2 linked regions of the Macaca mulatta genome follow. The protein of the gene in region 2 purifies or fractionates together with the protein of the main gene of each other region. This does not show direct contact. Links are inferred from orthologs where the notes say so. Each region holds a gene or a part of one and is shown on either strand. Other genes may lie near its edges.

Region 1 (5,989 bases), on a different chromosome or scaffold from region 2:
GCGCCAATAAAGCCCCAATAAAGCAGACCCGCAGAACAGCACCTGCCTTCCTCCTGCTGAACCTGAAGCCCAAAACTCCCTCTTGAAAGCCAGAGGCGCCGGGCGCGGTGGCTCAAGCCTGTAATCCCAGCACTTTGGGAGGCCGAGACGGGCGGATCACGAGGTCAGGAGTTCGAGACCATCCTGGCTAACACGGTGAAACCCCCGTCTCTACTAAAAAATACAAAAAACTAGCCGGGCGAGGTGGCGGGCGCCTGTAGTCCCGGCTACTCGGGAGGCTGAGGCAGGAGAATGGTGTAAAAACCCGGGAGGCAGAGCTTGCAGTGAGCTGAGATCCGGCCACTGCACTCCAGCCTGGGCGACACAGAGAGACTCCGTCTCAAAAAAAAAAAAAAAAAAAAAGCCAGAGGCAGGGCCTGGCTCCTGGCAGGGTGCAGGGAAACTTACCCGCACACGCTCCTGTTTAGCTCAGCAATTGTGGCAGGTGGGGCAGAGCCTCTCTGGCTTCCTGAAGAATCCAGGTACCCTGTCGTTTCTCTCCCCCGAGGCTTCCATTCTCTGGGACCCTCAGGCACGTCTGTGGGGGAGAACTGAATGAGGAGTTATGTGCTACCTGTGTGATTGTGAGCTAATTCTTCAACCTCTCTGAATCAGTTTCCTCATCTGTATCATATTCTCATGGAGAGTGTGTGTGTGGAGATCATGATGGGCCGTGCACACCTGATGCAAGACAAAACAAGACAACTATCATTACGGAGTGTTGTGTGCCAAGCACTGTGTTTTGCACTATCCAAGTTAATCTTGCCCTTTCTCTCCCACCACAAACCTACAAAATAGGGAGTCCTTGTAGCTCCATTTCCTCAGTGATGAATTCAGAGCTAGGGAAAGTTAAGAGCTGAATTAGGAGCTAGAGGCAGCAAACCCTTGATGTGAACCCAGCTTCCCAGTGCAAAGCCCATGGGCATCCCCACTTGCTGTACTGCCTCCCGATGGGCTCCACCTCCATGAGGTTGGACTCATTAAAAACAAACAGCATCCTGGGCCTCGTTTTTGATGTAACATTTGTTATTTTATTGGAAAAAGCTGGTATTAACATATTTATAGTTTTATTCAACAATTGGGTAATTTGTGAGACACCAAAGAGAAAAAGAATGCACCTATGAGTTACAGAGTCCAAACTGATCAGGGCTGACAACTTGATCACCATGTATCCCACACCACCACCACCACCACCACCACCACCACCACCACCACCCCTACCTCCACCACCACCACCTCCACCACCCCCACCACCACCCCCATCACCAAGAGCTTCGTCCTCAGAGAAGAGCTAAATTTAAAAAACCCAACAACTTCACAACGACCATGTGAACGCCCGTACATTCGAGAAGACCAGAAAATGTAAGCAGAGCAGGGATGCAAGTCTGTGACTATTATGCTGGTCCTTCCGCCATTTCTGGTTTTGTCCCTCCCACTGACACCTTTTCTTAACACACATTTTATCTTCACAATTCGCTTTGGACATCATTATTTTCCAGGGATCCAAAGACATACTTTTTCTCAAAGAAGATCTTTTCCTTTCTTTTTTCTCCTTTTTGGTTTGGTACCCAAAGTTTAAAACAGAAGTAAGGAACTAGGAACCGTATTAAGACTTCCTTTTGAAGAACATGTAAGATTCGTACTTTGAAGATGGTAAATGTTAAATCTATGATGTGACAGTAACCTCTAGCTGCAAATACAAGTTTCCTCTCTTAACATTTGACTCACAAAGGGAGATGGATCGTAGCAAATATCCAAGTAATTGGTAAGGCCCTCAGAGCTGGGTTTTGGCTTCAACACGCTATCTATACAATTAACCACATTCTCAAACCTCTTTACAAGGGGGAAAAAGTAATCCAATCCTTTGATTGTTAAATTTAATTAGAATAGATATGTACATATAATACTGTCCAGGTCAACTGGATTTTATAGTGATATATAAACAAACATTCTTCATTCACGTTGATTAAAAAAAAAAAATCAGTGATCCATTTCCCTGTGTAAATGTTATATGGCCAGAAGTGAGTACACATGCACTTTGTGCTTTTACACACACAAAAGTATACTGTAATCCACTGAGAATAACCTCAGCTGGGTCTATTTCCTGGGTTATGTTACATCTTGTAAAAAACAAAACAAAACAAAATGGTTGGATTTGGCTGGGTCTCTGCTCCTCGCTTTCTGAATCAAAATGCCAAACTACGTGGTTCTGCTGTGAGTCCATGAGCAAAGACGACTCAGAGGGGTGGGCAGGTGTGGTATCATCAGAACAGGAGCATCTACCATGGAAACACCACCTTCTCTGTCGCCCTCATTGTCAGAGGGGCAGAGTTCCCAAGGGACACGTCCTCTGGGACTGTGTGGTCCTTAAAGTAAAGGTATCCTAAAATGGTCAGAACATGCAATTTCCTTTCAGAGGCAGTTCAGTGCATTGGCTCAAGGAGGGTGCAAGCCCAGGGTGAAGTGGAGTCCCGGGGAGGGCTGTACTCCTGAAGCCACCAAGCAGAGCAAGGAGCTCCGGGGGTCTTCTCCATCTTCCATCCTGCGTTTCAGTTCTCCTGGACCCTTGTCGTAGCCAAGTCTGCCATGTCCTATTTTCCAAGACAGAGAGGCATTCCTTTCCAAACCTTCCATTCGAGTGTCACTTAAACATGAGCCACCCACGAGATGGACTGGAGAGAACCTTGTGTGAAGACCCGGACGGGCTCCTGACACCACTGCTTGGCGGGCGCCTGCCATGGGTGACCTGTGCATCTGCTCAGAGCCTCAGTTTCTTCTCGTGGACAGAGGGGATCCTAAGGCTTCCTCTTATCCCCAGCATCCAGCCCAGAGCCTGGCACGCTTCAAGAAGTTGGTGCTTATGATGGAAATGAATGAACACCCACCTCGCAGTCAGGAGGAAGATTCCAAAAAATCGTGAATGGGAGCCAGTGTCCGCTCCAGGAAGGTGCCCAGTGAATGCTGAAGGGCGAGGGGAAAGCGGCTGCAGGGAGGGCTGCAGGGGGTAAGTCAACAGCCTCTAGGGCTGAGCACCATGCCCAGCACACAGGAGAGGCTCAGCAAACGGCAGGTGAATCAGATGAGGGGACACAGGCACGCAGAAGACAAACCCCACCCCGCTCCTCTCGGGAAACTGCACCAGATCTGGGACCTGGGATGTTTCAAGACGTTCAGAAAACCTAGGAAAGAAGCTTGCATCTGCAAATTCTCAGCATGAATTCACCCTCCGAAATACAAAGGTGAGATCATCAGCTCTCAGACAGGGCCAACTGCTCCATTTATAACCAAAAGACCCCCTGGCTGGCTCGTTTGAGATTCATCATCTGTCCCTGGAGCCCTGATCTGGGACCGGTGAGGCATGGGGGGGAAGCAGCTCCCATCAGCTCCGGCCCCTGCAGCAGGACGCACTGGAGTGAAAAATTAACCCGGACGCATAAAAAGTCCTATCGATGTGGTAAAGACCGCAGACCGAGACGGTGAAGGGACGTGAATGAAAGAACCCTGAACTGTAAGACTCCACAGTCATGTCCATTTTATGATTTGTGGCGGTGAACGCTTCCTTTCCTTTTTATTTTTTTAAACAGACAATTACTGCCAAACACAATTCTGGCCTAGGGAAGCTGGGGCAGGGATGGGGGCCCAGGCTCCCTGTGTCCACACACTGCCACCTCTGCGGCTGTCCTCGTTGGCGCTGTGACTTCCTTCCCCTCCTTGCGTTGCGGTCGTGAAGATCATGTCGGGGATGACTTGCGCAAGGCTGGGTGGTGGGGGCCGGGATCTGCACATACCTAGTGCATGTCAGAGTTCACCTTGTCCTGGAAGATGTACAGGTTGTTGGTGGCAGCGATGGCGATGATGTTCTCAGCCGGGTGCCAGGCCGTGTGCAGGATCTTCTTGGTGAAGTCCAAGCTGTCCACACTGATGTCATCACGCCGGCGCTTGCCCCCCACGCACACACGCCGCGGCTTGAGCACAGCCCGGGGCTTGCTGCTTTCCCTTGAGGCCTCCAGGGTCACGTCCCGCTTGGTATTCCGATCGAACATGCGGAAGAAGTTGTTGTAGGCCCCGGTCATGATGACGCTGGTGGGAGAAGGAGAGGCGTCAGGCGAGGAGGAGCACGAGCCTCTTCTCAAGAAATAAGCCCAGGTGTGGGGACTCATGCCTATACCCCCAGGACTTTGGAAGGCCCCGGTGGGAGGATCGCGTCAGCCTAGGAGTTCAGGACCAGCCTGGACAACATAGCGAGACTCCACCTCTACAAAAAAAAATTTTAAATGACCATAGTCCCAGCTATTCGGGAGGCTGAGGCAGGAGGATCACCTGAGCCTGGGGAGGCAGAGGCTGCAGTGAGCTGTGATTGTACCGCTGCAGTCTAGCCTGGGTGACAGAGTAAAACTCTGTCTCAAAACAACAAACAGACAAAAAAGAAAGCAAGCCCAGAGCCTACAGAGCCATCACTCCCTGGAAAGGGAACCCACACCTGCCTCTATTCCCCTGTCTCTTGGGGTCTCTTACATCCCCTCACATGTCAGCTGCCACCAACACGTAGACTCAGGCCAGGAGCTAAGATCATTTTTATGCTCTGCCCCAATCATCATGAAAATACCCTGCTGGCCGGGCGCGGGGACTCACACCTATAATCCCAGCACTTTGGGAGTCCGAGGCGGGTGGATCACCTGAGGTGAGGAGTTTGAGACCAGCCTGGCCAACATGATGAAACCCCGTCTCTACTAGAAATACAAAAATTAACTGGGCATGGTAGTGGGCACCTGTAATCCCAGCTACTCGGGAGGCTGAGGCAGGAGAGTTGCTTGAATCCAGGAGGCGAGGTTGTAGTGAGCCGAGATCGCACCACTGTACTCCAGCCTGGGCAATAAGAGCAAAACTCCGTCTCAGAAAAAAAAAAAAAAGAAGAAGAAAGAAGGAAAGAAAAGAAAAGACAATGCCCTCCTGTAATTTCTGTTAGTCCAGGAGAGAAAGCCCTGGCCTTCCAAAGGGACTGTGTGACCACAGCAGGAGGTAGCCACGGAAGCAGCTGGGACAGAGAACCACCAGGCCCTGCTTCCCTCCAGGGGCCCGCCTGTCCCGAGGAGTCGGGTGAATAAAGGAATATGCATCGCCATGAGGGACGGGGCGAGCAGTGCTGATGTGCAGAGGCTCACCGCCCTCGCCATCCTGCTAAAGAGAATTCCACACCATTTCCTTGCTCTCCCTGCTCCTAAGGAGGGGATCCTGCTGGTGGGAGGAAGGATAAGTTCATCGACATAGTAAGAGGCAGCAGAGAAAGCACAGCTCTGTGGGCCTGTGCCCAGAGGAAGGGTTTTGGGGTTTGGCCTCTGCAGGGCCCTGGAGCAGCTGTGGGGTGCAAGGTAAGTGGGGAGGAAGAGGGCATTCCAAAAAGCAGCCACGAGATAAAGAAGTTGTCCTGCTGAAGGCTCTTCAGGGAGGAAATCCTATTTCCTTTTGGAAGCCGAGTTGGGCTTCCTGAGGTTAACACTGCTCTGAGACAGAACCAGGGGGATCCCTGGGTCTCCACGGGTTATGCACAGAGGACAAAAGCTCACACGTGAGCTCAGGCACTGTGGTCAGGGGCTTGGGGTCTGGCCAGTCCCCCTGGGTCTGGGTCCTAGCTCTGCCCTACCCTGACATGCACCCTATCTTAGTTTTCTATAAATATTAGGGTCAACAAGGGAACGCAGCCCCTGGTAAGTGCGAATCAGGGGACGCAGGCTGAACACCCCGCACAGTGCTGGGCTTGGGGCACTTTGCCTCTTGTTATTTACCAGGTACTTCTCGATCCTAATCGTCCATGTGACCGAAGCCACACCTGCTTTATATGTGACTCAGAGCCTGGGACAAGGGAAGCAGCATGAGAGTGGGGCTGGGTGAACGAGTCCCACAGAAGGGCCCTGCCCAGGCACCACAGGCTGACTGGGGGAGGCCACACTCC
Region 2 (6,004 bases):
CTACTCATACACTGTATGAATGAGACCTATATTTAATATTAATAGCAATAATAAAAAAGCTTTATCTTGGAGAAACTGGGAGGGTTTACTTATTTCCTCCATTTGGCATTTGGTTTCTGTGAAGTATTGTTTAAACAGGTCCAAGTCAATTAGTAAACCTGGAAACTGGAATGGCAGGAAGAGTTGGCTGGAGTGGAAGGAAGGATGGTAGGAGGGCCACTCTGAACACTTTTCAAACGTACAAATTAAAGATATTATTTGGAAAATGTAGACCAAATACATAGTAACTATTATAAATTAAGTCCCATTTCTCCAAAATAACTTTCAAAAAACTAAAGTCTTTACATTCTTTAAGATAAACCTTAATGATCACCACATCATTTATAACATTGTGCTTCTTAATCAACAGCAAAGTTCATATATAAAAACCCACATGCTTTTATAATCTAAACAAGTGAAATGATGCAAAACAGAGAAAAGTATAATGCATGCCACTGGTTCGTGAACTTCATTGGACAAGAAAACAAAACAAAACCCAAAACCCAGAAAACCCAAACCCCAGCAACAGACAGTTGCCATAGAAAAGCTCGAGCAGCCCGTGCTGCTTTCTAACAGCTCTCTCTCATTTCCTCCATCCCTATTGAAAAAATGCCAAATCCAAAAGCAATTGGGCATCAAAAATAAAGGAAGAATAGAGATGTCGAATCAAAAGTTGAACACAATAGTTCAAAGTTAACAGTTTCCACACCATATTGATCCACCCTGTTTTTTTTTTTTTTTTCCTGTTTGTTAAATCCCTGCTGTAACTCTGATTTATCCTTAATTTTCACATTGGCAAAAATTAAGATAAAGTAAGGCACCAAAAATCGCCCTGTATAACACCTCTCTAAAAGCCTCATCACCCATCACAGGCAAGCCAGAAACTTGCAGGGAATACCCTCTCTGTGTAAGACTGTTGATTGCCGCCCCTAGACAGGTGTGTTTCATTATGTTACATCCTATTTTCATCTGTCACGCAAGACTGTTAGGTACAAATACTTAACAGCACCATTAAGCCATTTCATCTAGCTCCCTGTCTTCAGTCTTTTATTTAAAAACAAAATTATATCATATAGAAGAAGCAGGTATCTTTGCTGGTTATATTGATTTGCTTACCAAATAACTCCCTAATTAATCGGCAAACATGTAGAAATTTCTTAGCTAGTGACAGGCTCCTTGGGGGGCAATGGAAATATTGCAAGGGCACATTGTCCCCCAATCTAATCTACTGGTCTTTTCTGTCAGAAAACTATGATATACTTTTAAGCATTAAGTCAATCATTTCCTTGGTAAAAATCACCACATTTATAAGAAGCTCGCTGATGCCTACTATACAGATGTTTTATGCAATCTGCTCTCCAGGCATTAAAACGACACGGCATGTTCATGGCATAATTTTATCAGTTGTACAAAATCCATTCAAAATAAAATTTATGAGAGCTAACTGATCATGCTGTGCATGCTTCAAAGTTCGGTGAGAAGATGGCTCATATTTTACTTCCTTTGCTGCAGCACAGTTTGTTACTTGGTGGCGAAGCCTCCTTTTTCCGTAAGGACTTTTTCCAAGATTCATTTACATTGTTTCTTTCATTATATCCGGTCTCAAAATAATCATAAAATTGGCCTTTGCACTCAAAAGCAAGGTCATTTCCCACAGGTTCATGGCTGAGGGGGCCACCATCTCTGTTGGTGTCATTATTTGCTTTCTCCTCATTTAATTTGGCCTTTTCCTGAACACCAAGTGATCTGACATTAGTGACAAAGATTTCGTTGGCAGGTATCTGGCCATCACTCTTGTAAACAGGTGCACTGCCTACATCGAAATCCACCTGGTGGGAACAACTCGGTAGAGACAAAGGGGGAGAGGAAGAGGAGGATGAGGAGGAAGAAGAGACGGAGGGAGAGGAGGCAGCGGTGGAGGCACTTCCAACATTAGCATTGACAGAAAGGGGTACATTTAGGTAGTGGCCACCACATTCTTGGTAAAAGCAGCAGGCATGAAACTTTTCACATTCCTCTTTGGCCATCCGTGGTCGTTTTCGGTAAGGGCAGTCTTGAGCCATAAACCACTCTTGGGCAGAGGTGCCATTGAAAGAGCAGGCAGGGAAGCACCAGTTATTCTGCATGATAATTTCTCCATGGATCCTTTTCATCAAATTGTTTATAAGGACAGATCTTCGGAGGTATACTTCAGGGTCATCGATAAACTTTAGCTTTTCTAAGGACATATAAAGGATGTGGGCTCGTTCCTCAAAAATTGAGATGGTCTACAAACCAAAACCAAAACCAAAACCAAACAAAACAAAACAAAAAAAACAAAAAAGGAAGAGAGAAAGCTTAGAAAATGGACTATAAGAAAACACCATCATAGCATACTTCTTTCTTGGCACTGTCTGGGTCTGGGCATGTTGTGGTCTTGTTCCCCAAGGTTCATTTAGAGAGGCTGTCCCCCATTCTGCCGATGTTCCCTTTTGTCACTTGGCTGGAGTGCCCACCCACTTCCTGATCCACTGGTATGGCCAAGCACTAGGGAATCAAGCCACAGTGCAGACCTCAGGAGGGACAGTTCAGGTGGTTTGATCTATTATGGCCCAGTAAGGAAGATGCTGAAACACAAAACTAATCTAAGCTATTAGAAGTCAGGAGAGGAGGTACTTTCAGAGTTGGGGTGAGTGGGGCAAAGGGTAGTGTTAAAAGCAGGTCAAGGAGGATTCTGGTTGCTGGTTATGTTTTGGTTCTTGACCCGGATGTTAGTTACATGGATATGTTCACCTCATGAAATTCATCAAGCTGTACTGTGATACTTGTACTTTTTTATGTGTGTCTACACAAATACACATACACACAGACACATAACTCATATATTATACATCAATACGTGTTTTTAAAATGATGTCAAAATGCAAGTCACAATGAATATACTTCAAACCCTGGTCTAGCCATCAAGGAGCATGAGATTTGGCTTTTAATACTGTCCCTCTTTTAATCCTTTGGGTTTCATACTTGCAATTATCCTTGCTTGATAAGAGGACACAATAATGAATGAGGCTCAGGCCCTGACAGAATCTGTCAGTTGAAGGACCAAAGTAGGCTTCCTTGCGGAGCTGAGTGGGAGATGAGATGCCGAGAGGAACTGAGAGGGCTCACTCCTGAGCTGTGTGACACTATCACTATGTGATGGTTGGTGCAAATCCAGTAGCAACTGGGAAACTGCTACAACCACAACACAGAAACTAAAAAGGAAATAAACTGCTTGTGTCCGGGGGACCAGCTATTCCAGGTCATCAAAAAAGCAAACTGGCAGCATAACCTGAGGAGCTGTGAACTAAACCAGCCCATACTGACCAAAGGCAGGGACTACACATGCAGGGAAAAGCCCAGTACCTACCAATGCATTCTGCTGTCCTTTCATGAGCAAGGTAAAAGTAACCTCTAAAGGATGAGGTGGCAGAGGGGGAAGACAAGAGAAGACAGAGAGGAAGACGAATTGAAAATCCTCTCTGCATTTCAGACAACTATGGTCTGCAGTTATACCTGCCTCAATTAAATCAGCAGATAGTTATTGAAGGAAGGTAACTCTAAAGAAAAACAAACTGATATTTCAAAAGTTTAGGTGCCCAGTTTCATAATTCTATGCAATTTCCCCACCTTGTTTTTTTTTTTTTTTTTTTTAACTATACCTACAAAAAAGTTAGCTTTGGTCTTTTCTTGGAAATGAAGTATATTTTTCAACAACTTATATGTAACCAATGTCCAGGGAAGTGCATATTTCTACTTGCATACACACATTCAAGGATGGTGAGTCTACCCACAAAAGGTCAGGAAAAGCTCTGCGTAACCACCCCCACGTGGACACACACAGAAGTAACATTGGCTGCAGGAGCCAGAACTTAGACTGGGGAGAACACCACGGGAAAGAACAAGCATTCCACACAAAAGTGCGGAAGAACCATAACCCGAAACGCAGTCTGAGAAATATTAAATCATATGTTAAAAAAATTCCTTGGATTACATAATTTTGACATTTCTGGGTAGAACAGCTCTTGCCAGCTTTTTCTTCAAGTACTTGTGAAAAATAACACAGGACCCAAAAAAGTGACAACGATTAATGAGGCTCCACTGAGAAGTGGCTCATTTTCATTGCTTGGGTGAAACAATTTAATTCCTGGAAGTGGATCAAGCAACTGTTACTAAGTATCTTAAACTCTTAATAAAAATAATGACTATTAAAAAAAAACATACTTTATGGCTACAGCTGCTGAGTGGTGGGTGAAAATCCTCTTCTTCCACATACTTCCTCTTAAAGTATGCGATCTTGGATGTTGTTAGAGGATTTGAAGTTCCCCTGTAATGTGATCCTGTGGTAATAAATCAGATATGACAAATGACATGCGGTTTGCCAGAGGTTCTCCAAACAAAATACTTTCATTTCCTGTCCTTCTAGATGATAACTTGGCTGCATATTTGTCTGAACATGTGGTGATTAAAAATAAACATTTGTCTTAATAGTTGCTATCATATGGAATCCTGTGACCCAGGCTAGGAAAAGATTTCTAGGCAATTATAGAGGAAAATCACATACTTTAGCATTTAATAAATATGCAGAATCTTAAATCTATGCAAAAGGAAACTGCAATATTCAGAAAGTGGAGGAGTGTAATTTCTCTAAAATATATTAGTATTTATTTAAATTGTTTAATTAAACCTATGACAACATAGCACCACTGTTCAAATGCATACATCTTTAACTGTAACCACTGATAACCAAACAACTTTAAAATATTATTGGCTTTAGGTTAGTGAACAAATGGTTATCTGCATATTGGAATTATAACATTCCTTTTTTTCAAAATGCAAAATTCAAATTTTTAAAATTTGAATTAAAATTTTGGGTAACTAATGTCCTTTTCACTCTTCAAAATGTAGTATGCCAACCATGAAGACCACAGTTTTTAATCTTTTTTAGCAAAACAGACTTCATTGAGTACTTGTTTTATATTTTAGTTTATTTTAAAAAATAGCTAATACTGCACAAAAATCCGAAGGAACTTAAACCATAAGCAGAAAGAATCAGGAAGAACATATTTTTATTTTCTTGGCTTTAAATTTTTTCCTACAATCCCAAAGCCAGTTGTGTGCTTAACCCATTTATGCCAGAGGTTGCACATTTTTTGTGTGTGAAGTCAGACCTTGGTGATGACCTTGAACAGCAGGATAGAAATAACTTCCACAAGCTTAGCGTTCCAATAATGGAACACTGAGCCTAAATGGGTTAATAAAGAAAAGAGACACATAGCTGCTGGCGCAAAGTGCCGATTCCTTTATATCTCATGGGATAAAGGTGTCATTGTTGAGCCCACCAGAGCTTTCATAGTTGTGAGAGAACCATATAGTTCCACAGGGCAGAAAACCAAAACCCAAACTCAGAGTTTCAATATCTGGTTTGGCCCTCTTAAAAATACAGAATATAATTCAAGCAGCAGCATGGGTAGACACAGGTTTGAATGCAATTTAAATATCACCTTTGGTCCTCTCTCTGGAGCTCTGGACTCACTTAGGAGAGGTGCACAGCAGCCCGGGAAGCCCTTGGAGCTTTAGCTTTCCTGGCTCAGAGGGGCACTCCAGACACCACCTCCTGCCCACCAGGCTGACTGCAAAGGGCAGCAAGGAGTGGGGGGGTCAAGGGAAATACCTGCCAGCGGGGGACCAGCTCCCCGATCTCCCTGCAAAGGAGCCTGTGCTGGCCCTGGGGGGCTTGGGCCTCCGTAGCTGTCAGCCTCCCATAGTGTTTGGTACCCAGCAATTTCAGCAGCTCCTTCCGAGACAATGGGCTCGCAGAATCTATTCATGGACAGAACCAGAGTCATCTCTGACAGCCTCAGATCTGAAAAGAAAAGAAAAAAAAAAAAAACAAGAATGAAGAAAACAGCCCTAATCAAGAGCAAGCCAAGGGACGGCCTTGGCA

The links. The genes of interacting proteins can lie anywhere in the genome.
Region 1: the proteins of SERTAD4 (region 2) and PPP2R2C purify together in Homo sapiens (affinity purification with mass spectrometry; 3 studies listed by BioGRID and IntAct, counting the BioPlex papers as one, with this or other methods). This does not show direct contact. The link is inferred for Macaca mulatta from reciprocal best matches to the Homo sapiens genes SERTAD4 and PPP2R2C.

The regions. Positions count from the first base shown.
Region 1 is NC_133410.1:6,710,833-6,716,821, reverse strand, and holds the end of PPP2R2C (protein phosphatase 2 regulatory subunit Bgamma), read right to left. Parts: intron 4,120-5,989; coding exon 3,828-4,119; 3' UTR 1,577-3,827; downstream 1-1,576. UniProt on the Homo sapiens protein: The B regulatory subunit might modulate substrate selectivity and catalytic activity, and might also direct the localization of the catalytic enzyme to a particular subcellular compartment.
Region 2 is NC_133406.1:67,976,611-67,982,614, reverse strand, and holds part of SERTAD4 (SERTA domain-containing protein 4), read right to left. Parts: intron 5,924-6,004; 5' UTR 5,907-5,923; coding exon 5,732-5,906; intron 4,398-5,731; coding exon 4,282-4,397; intron 2,307-4,281; coding exon 1,527-2,306; 3' UTR 1-1,526.